3 linked regions of the Danio rerio genome follow. The protein of the gene in region 3 purifies or fractionates together with the protein of the main gene of each other region. This does not show direct contact. Links are inferred from orthologs where the notes say so. Each region holds a gene or a part of one and is shown on either strand. Other genes may lie near its edges.

Region 1 (3,761 bases), on a different chromosome or scaffold from region 3:
CATGTTGTGCTGCAACATATAATTCTGATTTTGTTTTATCAATCGTTGTAACTTTATGCAAGGGGAACCTGACACAAGATGTACTTAGCTCGATGCCAACCCTTTTATAGATGAATTAATAGTCAAATTTTAAGAAAAAAATCATGTTATGAAAAGGTTACAAAATGTTCTCAGATTAACAGGAAAGTTCACCCAGAAATTAATTCTGTCATCATTTACTCAACTTCACTTGTTCCATAGCTTGTTTGAGTTTCTTCTGTTTAATAGAAAAGATACACTGAACACTTATTAACTTTCATAGAATGCTTTGATTCTATTATGGATGTAAGTGGCTGCCTTTTTTTCAACGTTCTTAAATCTTAATTTGTGTTCATCAGAAGAAATGTACAAATTCTTAAAACCACCTAAGTAAAAGAAAAGGGTGAGGAAATGTTTATTTTTGGGTGAACTATCATTTTAATATATGTTTTTTTTTTCTGTTTCCACTTGCAGATTGTGTGGTTAATGTTAAAATAGACTGATACACTATCAAAAATAATTATATTAATTATAATTATTGCTAACTCATGGAATCTTATTGTAAAGTAGGGCTGCACAATATTAGAAAAATCTGATATTGCAATTTTCTTTTTTTTTGCAATAAATATTGCGATATGAATATTTTCTGGGGAGTCTAGCATTATTCAGGTACAGAAATTAAACAATCAAAATGCAAAAAAAATGCTTTTCTTAATTTGCTTTGTCTCATTTCTAGTCCAAATATCTAAAAATATTTAAATTAAGTAAATAATATTGTTTTGTTTTCAACTTCAGAAGAAATAATGAGTTCTTCCTCAAAACAAGACAATTATCTGCCATTGAAACCATTGAGGTGAATAAAACAATCTTATTTTCTTGCTTTAAAATGTGGATAATTTGGAAAACAAGAAACAAGACAAAAATTCTAAGTGAGAAATTTTTTTTCTTTTTTGCATAAATTACTTATAAATACAGTAATTAAATACAATTCTGTAGCTCTTGGTCAACTATAATTCAGACTCAAAATTGTATATATTGCGATGTGACTATTGCGGATGTGCACATTGCGATATCGTTGCTGAAGCGACATATTGTGCAGTTCTATTGTAACAACTACCCAAAATTCTTGCAAGCAGGAATTGTCCAAGAACAAATAAATACATTTAAAAAGTGGAATATTTGCTTTATAGACAGAACCAGACAAAATGGTGTTAACATAATAATAACAATAATATAATAACTTGTAAATAACTTGTAATAAAATGATTACATGTAAACATGTAAAGTGATAATCCTATTAAAAGCCTATTATCAAATACTGTATAATTTCATGGTAGTGGGATTATTAAATATATCAGTGTTTTTGTTTTTTTGTACAGATATCTGGACACACAAATCTGCATTGAGGTAAAGTTGGTTTTATATTTGTACATTCGAACTTTCTTCTCAGTAATATAATTTCAGAAAACTATTCTTTGCAAATTCTTAACAGGGAAATTATATTAGCAGCCAATGACTATTAAAGTCCACTGTTGACAGTCAGTTAAATGGTGCTGTTTTGAAGTCATTCTTGCATGATATTTCAGACCGAATATTCAAAGCGTTAAGTTTTCACTGCTTAAAAATGAACAAATGTACAAATATAAAACCAACTTAACCGCAACCAAATATGCTTTGATTTATTGTAAAATGCAACAATTCATACCGCTCCAGTGTAGTATCGCAAACCAACAATTAAGCCTTGAATTGAACCAAACAGAACATTCCCCTCTGCCTCCAGCTCCTGTCCTGCATCTTCTGTTAAATTGGCAAGTTCTTGTGATAAGGTCATTGTGCTGCCCACGTCCATAAAATCTATGAAAGCTAATGGTGGATGACAAACAAGAAAACGTATATTAAACTTCTGTTCAAACATAATGGGAAAAGTTTTTCAGTGTAACGTTAATTAATGTAATTTAGCATATAGTTGGGACCACTGATATGATAAATTAATATTCTCATATGTAGATATTTGTGTTTTTATCACCGTATCTTGGCGGGGTGCTGCTGGAGGCTGTTGAGCTGCTTGATGACTGCATGTCTGCAAATCACAACATAAACACCAAACTTCACTGAACCACGTCCTAACAACAAAAGCAACAGACAACAAACAATTAAAGAGCAAAGCCAATGTACCATAAAGCAGAATCAAGATACCAGTTACTTAACTTTACATATAATTCACAGTAAAACGTCTCCATTCAGCTAGAATGCCAAGCAAAGCTGTTATCGTGGATTAAGTTAAAATGATGAGCTGCAGGCCACACCCACCTCTCGAGCAAAGAGTCCTTTTCAGTAATATCTGACTGTAAATGAGGCCAACTGTAAATACTGCATGGGCGATGAATATCGCTGCGTTCACGGGTTTATTGTAGGTCAGTTATCTAATTCTGAATACAAGTCTCGCTTTCGTGACGCCAGTGAGTGGCGCGAGTGTTTTGAAACCACACGTCTATTTTCGGCGCCAGCAGTCATTCTACGTCATTGTCACATGAACCAATCAGGACCGACTGGTGGCGGTAAAACAAACTCAACAAAAGTCTTGTAAACATTGTTAATAATCTCTTTATTATTTATTGATAACATATCGCATACACAAACAAAAAAATGCTAAGTCATCTCTCACATTAATTGTTTTTTTTGTATCGATTTTTTGTATCGAACTGTTTTTTGTATCGAAAACAATATATTTATTTTTATTTACATTCGTTTATTTTGTAACATTGTTATATTCGTTTTTTTTATGAACACCTTTTATATTGTTTTGTATGTATGTTCCTCATGGTTTGTGCAATAATAATAAAAATCCCTCAAGGTTTACTCACCCGCCAAAAGAGAGAGAGAGAGAGAGAGAGAGAGAGAGAGAGAGAGAGAGAGAGAATGGCGGCGGTCGTCAATACAGAAATCCTTTGAATATTATTATTTTTTTAGTTTACTGATAATTGCACCATTTGTAAAAATGAGTGTGAAGACATTTGTCACTTGTTATTTCATACAATGTATCATCATTGTATTGGTATTGTACAGTAGCTTAAGTTCATATTACTTTTCCGATGTTAAAATGAGTTGTAATTTGCACCTCAAGGATGGTATTTGTTAATTTCGAAAATCAAAACAAGTCGTTGAAAGCCACTATAAATTTTCATTCTATACTTGCTAGGAAATTTTACTTTCACAAACAGAGGTTTCGTTAAAAAAACACAAACTCTTACAGACTTCTTATGTGAAATAGAACATTTAATAAATTCAATTAGATTGATTGATAATAAGAAATGTACTTCTTTTTTGCGTAAACATGATGAAATCTTTCATGCTTGATTTTTTATCTTTTTATTGCATTATTATTATTATTTTTATCTACTTAATTTTTGGTTTTGCTCTTAATACTGTTCATCTAGTGTTGATATTGTAAGAACTATTGTCTTTTCCTGTAGTCTATATAATATGCAGTTTCTTGATGTCACTAATAATAATAATATTAATAATAATAAAATGACAATTTATTTAATAATAATAATAATAATATTTTTATGATTTCTAAATACTACTAATACTAATACATATTTTCCCTTCATATTTATTTTTTCTTATAAGTAATTATTGTTTTACAAAGAAATTTAGATTTATAATTTTTTCTATTAACATAATGACTTTTATTTATTACGTATTTAATTGATTTATTTTATGATTTATTACTTATTTGC
Region 2 (3,761 bases), on a different chromosome or scaffold from region 3:
TGGCTGGCTGAAATGTAAATTCTGTGTGTGTATATATATATATATATATATATATATATATATATATATATATATATATATATATATATATATATATATATATATATATATATATAATAGCCCACTAACAAGACACAAAACAACAAACAAATATGTTAAATTGCTTCTTTAAACTGTCTCTAATTTTGTTTTTTAAATTAACAACAACAACTGCAAAAACCCAATGGGACATATAAAAACTTGTGTACAGTGCAACAGAAACATCCAGTACTGACCAGAAGGCTCTTTCCTTTGAGCGTGTGTGTTGTTGTAAGTGCTGCTGCTGCAGGCATCTCCAAGGGCGAATGTTTTCCGCCCGGACCTCACTGGAGCTTTGCTCGGTTCATCAGCGCAAGCGAGCACAGCGTCGAAAGATCTCTTAGAGCCGCTGTTCTGGACGTCTGCGCTGATGGCCTGAGACGCAATAATATCAATCTGCTCCAGATCATCCTGGGTGAAATCAATGTCATCGTCAAACGGGTCGGGTCCAGTCTTCACCTGAGGGCCCTTCAGTCTCTTGCTCGGGGGAAAGTCCATGTCAACGAGCTCCTGCTGGGAAATCAATAAAACCTTGTTAATGTTCAGCAAATAATTAGTGTAGTAAAGAAAATGTTTATGCCCCTTTTCACAAGATGATAGGTCTCTGACACCCCTAGAGCAGGAATGCCTAAACTCTGGTCCAGTGTCCTGCAGAGTTTAGTTCTATCCCCAATTAGACACACTTAAACCAGCTAATCAAGCTCTTTATACGTATACTGGAAACTTCCAAGCAGGTGTGTTGAAGGAAGTGTGAGCTAAACTATGCAGGTCACCGGCCCTCCAGGACCGGGTTTGGGCACCCCTGACCTAGAGCGTGTTAAATTTCAGCTCAAAATACCCCACTAATAATTCTTTTAAACTGCCCTTTTTAGACTTCGATCCAAATTGTGATATTTTGTTGACTGTTGCTTTAAATTCAAGTGAGATAGCCTTCTTTTCAATTGTGGGCAGAGCTGCAAATGCCTATGGTCATCTACGGTTTTCATTTGTGCATCCTAAAACACCACGTCTATATTACATCTATTGGCAGGTGACTGCTTATGACTCAGGACTGTCTTTGCAAATGAGGGACAGATCGTCACTAATGGAATGTCATTAAATTTGGAAAAATTTGGATAAATATGTCTTAAAGTGATTAAAACTTTAGTAAATTCACCTGTTTTATAATAAATAGTACTGCATAAGCTGTACAATGTTTGTTTATACATGACCACCACTATAAATGTACAGTTGAAGTCAGAATTATTAAACCCCCTGAATTATTAGCCCCTCTGTTTATTTTTGTTTAATGGAAGATTTTTCTTTAACACATTTCTTAACATAATAGTTTTAATAACTGATTTCTAACAGCTGATTCATTTTATCTTTGCCATGATGACAGCACATAATATTTTACTAGATATTTTTCAAGACACTTCTATACAGCTTAAAGTGACATTTAAAGGCTTAACTAGGTTAATCAGGCAGGTTAGGGTAATTAGGCAAGTTATTGTATAATGATGGTTTGTTCTGTAAACTATCGAAAAAATATATACCTTAAGGGGGCTAATAATTTTGATCTTAAATGTTTTTAAAAAATTAAAAACTGCTTTTATTCTAGCCTCATAACATCCAGGGTAACATGTCTATATGTATTACAATATAAATAAATGTTTAAACACACATTTCTATATTTATTAAAAACCTATCCATCTAATTATTTCAATTAAATAGACAAGCTTTTTGATTTAAACTGTAAATGTAACAATTAAAACAGTTCCAGGACAACGAATTCATTAATAATCTGCAAAAAATTATAGCAGAAAATAAATAATTTAGAAAAAAACATTAGACACATTATCTAACACTAGTTTTCGCAGTATAAATGTATTTTGCAACTACAAATATGTAGTTTACATTTTGGGTTTGGATGTCCGTGACATATAAAAGACTGCAAAACCCTGACATACAGTACGGTTCGTGCCAGTTCATTAATATCAAGCAGTTAGCATGTGACAATTTTAATACGATAACACTCACTTACTGGTCAAAAATCCAGTTATTTTTCAGCCTATAAAGTGTACATTACTACCGGACTAACAAACTAACACACAATGCTCTTCCAGACTCCAATTTTAACATGGTAAAGGTGTAGTAAAGTGCTCAAGTTTATCAGTCACCTGCTTGATTTACGCTCCTCAGATTCCTGCATAACCTGCAACTGCCCGTCAAATCACCGACATGACAAACCAAAAGTAAACACTCCAGATAAAGTGCAATTCTGAAATGTTTACATAAAAGTAGTTGACCAAACAAACAAATAACCGAAAAGAGGAAAAGTTGGAGGCATTTCTGAAGGTTCGGTATTCATTCAAGCGAGGAGGAGTGTCCATGCGGCCAGACGAAAGCGTACGCGGTAGTAAAACATCACCTGATTGGCTAAACCACTGCCATAGTGTGTAGCGGTGAGCTCTGATTCGTCAAAGGAGTAGCGCACGTATTACGGAGACACTCTTGCGACAAAATGCGTTTTGAACCATTCATTTTGATTCAGAAAACTTGCACAAAGCCGTGATTTGGAAGTTGTCTAAACATGTTCAACAAGATGTGTTTATAAAAGTTTGGGCTTGTTAAACGTTTTCTTCACCATTTAGCTTATACATACTCGTACCTGTAGTAAACATATCGCAAGGCTTCAAGATTGTATTATTTTAGTTTAAATGGAAAAATATGAGTTCACAACAAAACACTGACGCAGAGTAGTATGAGTAAGATTAAAAATATATTTACAAGGTGCACACACAAAATAAATAGTGTTTAGTGATATTTTTGATACATTTTAAGCAAAATCATCACTAAAAATCAGCAGGTACATTTTTATGTGATTACACCATATACGACAAAACTTTTGCAGTTATTATGAGCTAAGTTAGCATGCAGGTTATAACCAATTGTAATAATTGCGCTAAATAGCTGCGAAAGGCTTTATTTTTAACAAAAGATGTAAAAATGATATAGTTAGACTTCATAACATTGTTAGGCTACAGAAATAAACTAATAAAAGGTGAAATCTGTTTGCTGCTTTAAAGATTTGTCTACAGCTATTGTGTCAGATTTAGCATCTTCGCTATGAACAACATACTTTTTTATCTCACACAATGTGTGCATGTAACTACGGAGTGTTTTTGTTGCTGCTGTTTTAAGTTGGAACTATTATTATTTCAACTATTACGATTTATTGACGAGAACAAATGATTGTGTACATTTTTATGTGATCACAACAAGCAGATCTTTTTTATACGACAAAACCTTTGCAGTTAACAAATATGAGCTAAGTTAGCATGTTACAAACTGTAATAAGTGTGCTAAATATAGCTGCCTTACCTTAATTTATATAGACATAAAAAATATTTATAGGCTACAGTGTGCTAAGGTAAACAATACTATCTGCAGCTTTGTTCAGTAGTGTGTCTACAGATATTTAGCATCTTTGCTAATGTATCTATGAAAACATACTTTTTTATCTCGCACAATTCGTGCATGTTGTACGAGCATGTTGCATGTCGAGTGTTTTTGTTGTTGTTTTATTTAGGTTTTTTAAAGTAATTATTACAACATGCCCACAGTTTAGTAGAGATCACTTGAAACAAATGAGTAAAACGTGCAGATATATTAGTAAATTGTGGGAATGAATGAGTCCACTT
Region 3 (3,661 bases):
TTTATTAAGTATAATTGAACTTAAAGAGCAATGAAACACCTCTTCCAGTTCAAGTACAGCAGGTCTTTTCCCCCGTCTATTCCAACCATTAGTCCTGCAGGTGATTTGGAGAATTTAAAATGTGTGCGAACACAGCAGCACAGATATAGGCGATGTGTCTGAATGGTAACAAACTCAACTGATAAAAGACAAAGTCCGTCATTCTCCAATTCTCCTACAGCTCTTCTGACAAAAATGCTTGCTGCACACAAACAGGTTGCCTGTATCAGCCCTTGACAGAATAAGAGGAAAACCATGCAACAAACCGTGTGGATCATGGAAACAAACACATGCCACTCTTCATAAGCACCTAAATACTGCCGTGTGCCGTCTCACAGCTTGGCAGGTCTGACCGTATTAGTCTGTCATCGGAAAGCACATGCAGTATTAATAATTAAGAAGCAGGGTCTTCTCATAGGATAAGAAAACTCCACTACAAATAATAATGAGAAACTCACGCATCATCACTGGACAGGCAGATTGGTGCTACGTCACCGATTTCTGATCCCGCCCCAATAATGATTTTAAGCTGAAATTAGCTGACAAACGCTCAAAATGATCCAGTTTTATTCATGATTAAAGCTGATGGGTGCTAACGTTTTAAATGACGCACACACACATTGCATTTATGGAATAATCATGCACACATTTAAACCTTTCTTTAACACACATCTATAAAAGACTCAATAAAATATTACAGGAAATACTGTGATAAATCCCTTGCTCTGCTACACATCATTCGGGAAACACTTGAAAAAGAAAACAAAATTCACAATTCACTTTAACTGTATTAGTTCTGGTTTAATCTGATTGTCCTTCACGAATAGTTCTGATTCTCCTTGCAGAATAACAGGTCTTTGGTGGCGTTCAGCGTTCGAGTGCTGGAGGACATGAATGAAGTGACATCGCACATGCTGGAGGTTGTGAACGCTCATCTCCAGCAGAGCAAACCACAGAACATGGTGAGACTCCAGCACCTCCTTCTCATGCTACACTTCTGCTTTTCTTTCGCACAAAATGCAAAGAAAGTGGTTGATGGTTACAAACTCAACACAGAATTCAAGCATGTTCAAACCTTGTGTATCGTAGATTCAATTTCAAAGCATTAATTATCAACTGGTTATATTTGGGTCATGAGACAATATGCAGCATCTGTATATACAGTTAAAGACAAAGTGATTAAGGAGATGATTTACATTTTCAACATAATAGTTTTAATAACCAATGTTTTATGCAGGGGATTCCTTTCCAGCTGCAACCCTGTACTGGGAAACACCCATACATACCCATTTACACACTACAGCCAATTTAGTTTATTCAATTCACTAATGGCGCAGGTTTTTGGACTGTAGGGGAAACCGGAGCACACGGAATAAACCCACGCTAACACAGGGAGAACATGCAAACTCCATACAGTAATGCCAACATTGTGAGGCGACAGCGCTGACCACTGAGCCACCGTGCAGCCATGCTAAATACAATTGATTGTTTTTTTTTTTTGAATGATTTGCTATATTTAAATAACAAACCACCCAAGCCTTTTCCGCTCTGAGTCCTTATAAAGAATCCGTTTATTAAATGCATAATTTAAGGGGTATCCCAATTCTCTTTAGCTTGAAAGGGAACACTATGATAAAAAAAAAATATATATATATTTATTTTTATATATATATATATATATATATATATATATATATATATATATATATATATATATATTTTTTTTTTTTTTTTTTTTTTTTAACAAAAGTACAGTTCCCAAATTTTTCAGCCTGACCCCCCAAAATAACAATTTCAGTGACTCACGACCCCCGCCATCTCCGAAAGTGGTTCTAAACATACAAACAGTGCACATACACCAATAGGCCTAAATAAACACAAGCACATTGACAACATAAACAGTCTAACAACCATTTAATATTTATTATTTGTCATTTATTAATTAGTCTTTAATATCAACCTCATCTAATATGGCTGGTGGGTGCAATGTTTACTGCACAAGTCTATTATTGGTTTAACTTTGGAGACTTGGAGATCATCATCAATGTTCAGTTGTATATGATTTAAAAAGATAGATATTTAAAATTAAAATAAAAAACATTTTATTTTAATGTATAGCAGTTCATAAAGGTGGCAAAGTTTGCTATGGTACTGTAAAATCAATCTGACACTATTTCTGTGTGGTTAATATAATGGAAACATGACAGGGGTCACAATAACTGTTCTTATAATGTAATATAATGTGTTGTGTCTTTATAGGGAGGTGGTGGAGGGATGATGCCAGTGTCTCATACCAGCATGAATAGTATGGGCACCACAGGAGGCTATTCTGGTGCTAACATGATGCTAGTCAATGGCTTGAGTGCCAACCAGAACCAAGTGAGTAAACATTACAAACATATTTGTATTCACATCTTCCACCTTTATATATTATATTTGCAGTTATGGGTTGCACTTTCTGTTTAACCAAAGGTGCTCTAAGCTAGTTTTGAACAGCAGAGGGCACTCTAGGCCTGGCCCGGATTGGCTAATTGGGAGGACCAGGAGACGTTTTTTGACCATGAGGGCCGTTGTCCCTAGCTGCTTGCACTCTCAGCAGTCGCACTTTTTTCATTTATTTATTTATTTGACCATAGCCTCATTCTTTTGATTCATTATTTTGCTGCAGCTCCGCTCTTCTTATTTATTTTCTCGCAGCACCGTGAGCAGAATGCAGCCTGCAGGGTAATGATGATGTAACTATCATTCAACCCCAAACAGCGGCACTTATAGTGAAAATAAGAATTTGAATAATTAATATTAATGAATATTACACCTGCTCAATGAAAATCAGATGATTCACTACATTAATATATCCAACATAACTTGATCAGAAATCTAAAATGGGGAGAAAAAGATTAAACCATCAATAGAAAGCAATACTGTGGTTAAGAGTCTTGCAGGTCTTGAATATATATATATATATATATATATATATATATATATATATATATTTTTTTTTTTTTTCTGTCATTTTTATTGTTAAGACATATTATATTGTTAGGGTTGATAAACATTTGAAGTTTTAAAGCAGCTGTTTTCTTTAAAAAGACATGATAGTGTCATTAGAAACTGAATTGGAAATGACGTTATTTTAATATACTGTAGTCAGTCGTGAACTGAGGTGGGCAGGTCTTGGGCTTGAAACTCCAGGTCTGAAAAGGAGTCCCACTCCGGCCCTGCTCTAGGCTAGTGTTTAACAGCTTATAGTGCTCTAGGCTAGTGTTTAACAGCTGATGGTAGTCTAGGCTAGTGTTTAACAGCTTATAGTGCTCTAGGCTAGTGTTTAACAGCTGATGGTAGTCTAGGCTAGTGTTTAACAGCTTATAGTGCTCTAGGCTAGTGTTTAACAGCTGATGGTAGTCTGAGCTAGTGTTTAACAGCAGATGCCGCTCTAGGCTAGTCTTCAACAGCTAATGGTGCTCTAGGCTAGTGTTTAATAGCAGATGCCGCTCTAGACTAGTGTTCAACAGCTGATGGTGCTCTAGGCTAGTGTTTAACAGCAGATGCCGCTCTAGGCTAGTGTTTAACAGCAGATGCCGCTCTAGGCTAGTGTTCAACAGCTAATGGTGCTCTAGGCTAG

What was found.
Region 1: the proteins of rpa2 (region 3) and hltf purify together in Homo sapiens (affinity purification with mass spectrometry, with the first as the bait; 3 studies listed by BioGRID). This does not show direct contact. The link is inferred for Danio rerio from reciprocal best matches to the Homo sapiens genes RPA2 and HLTF.
Region 2: the proteins of rpa2 (region 3) and atrip purify together in Homo sapiens (affinity purification with western blotting; 5 studies listed by BioGRID, with this or other methods). This does not show direct contact. The link is inferred for Danio rerio from reciprocal best matches to the Homo sapiens genes RPA2 and ATRIP.

What each region holds. Positions count from the first base shown.
Region 1 is NC_133177.1:28,293,191-28,296,951, forward strand, and holds the start of hltf (helicase-like transcription factor), read right to left. Parts: upstream 2,484-3,761; 5' UTR 2,329-2,483; intron 2,142-2,328; exon of another isoform or gene 2,099-2,141; 5' UTR 2,097-2,098; coding exon 2,045-2,096; intron 1,882-2,044; coding exon 1,724-1,881; intron 1-1,723. UniProt on the Homo sapiens protein: Has both helicase and E3 ubiquitin ligase activities. Possesses intrinsic ATP-dependent nucleosome-remodeling activity; This activity may be required for transcriptional activation or repression of specific target promoters.
Region 2 is NC_133197.1:10,190,896-10,194,656, reverse strand, and holds the start of atrip (ATR-interacting protein), read right to left. Parts: upstream 2,435-3,761; 5' UTR 2,238-2,434; intron 592-2,237; exon of another isoform or gene 589-591; 5' UTR 577-588; coding exon 276-576; intron 1-275. UniProt on the Homo sapiens protein: Required for checkpoint signaling after DNA damage. Required for ATR expression, possibly by stabilizing the protein.
Region 3 is NC_133191.1:4,960,611-4,964,271, reverse strand, and holds part of rpa2 (replication protein A 32 kDa subunit), read left to right. Parts: intron 1-884; coding exon 885-1,001; intron 1,002-2,298; coding exon 2,299-2,418; intron 2,419-3,661. UniProt on the Homo sapiens protein: As part of the heterotrimeric replication protein A complex (RPA/RP-A), binds and stabilizes single-stranded DNA intermediates that form during DNA replication or upon DNA stress.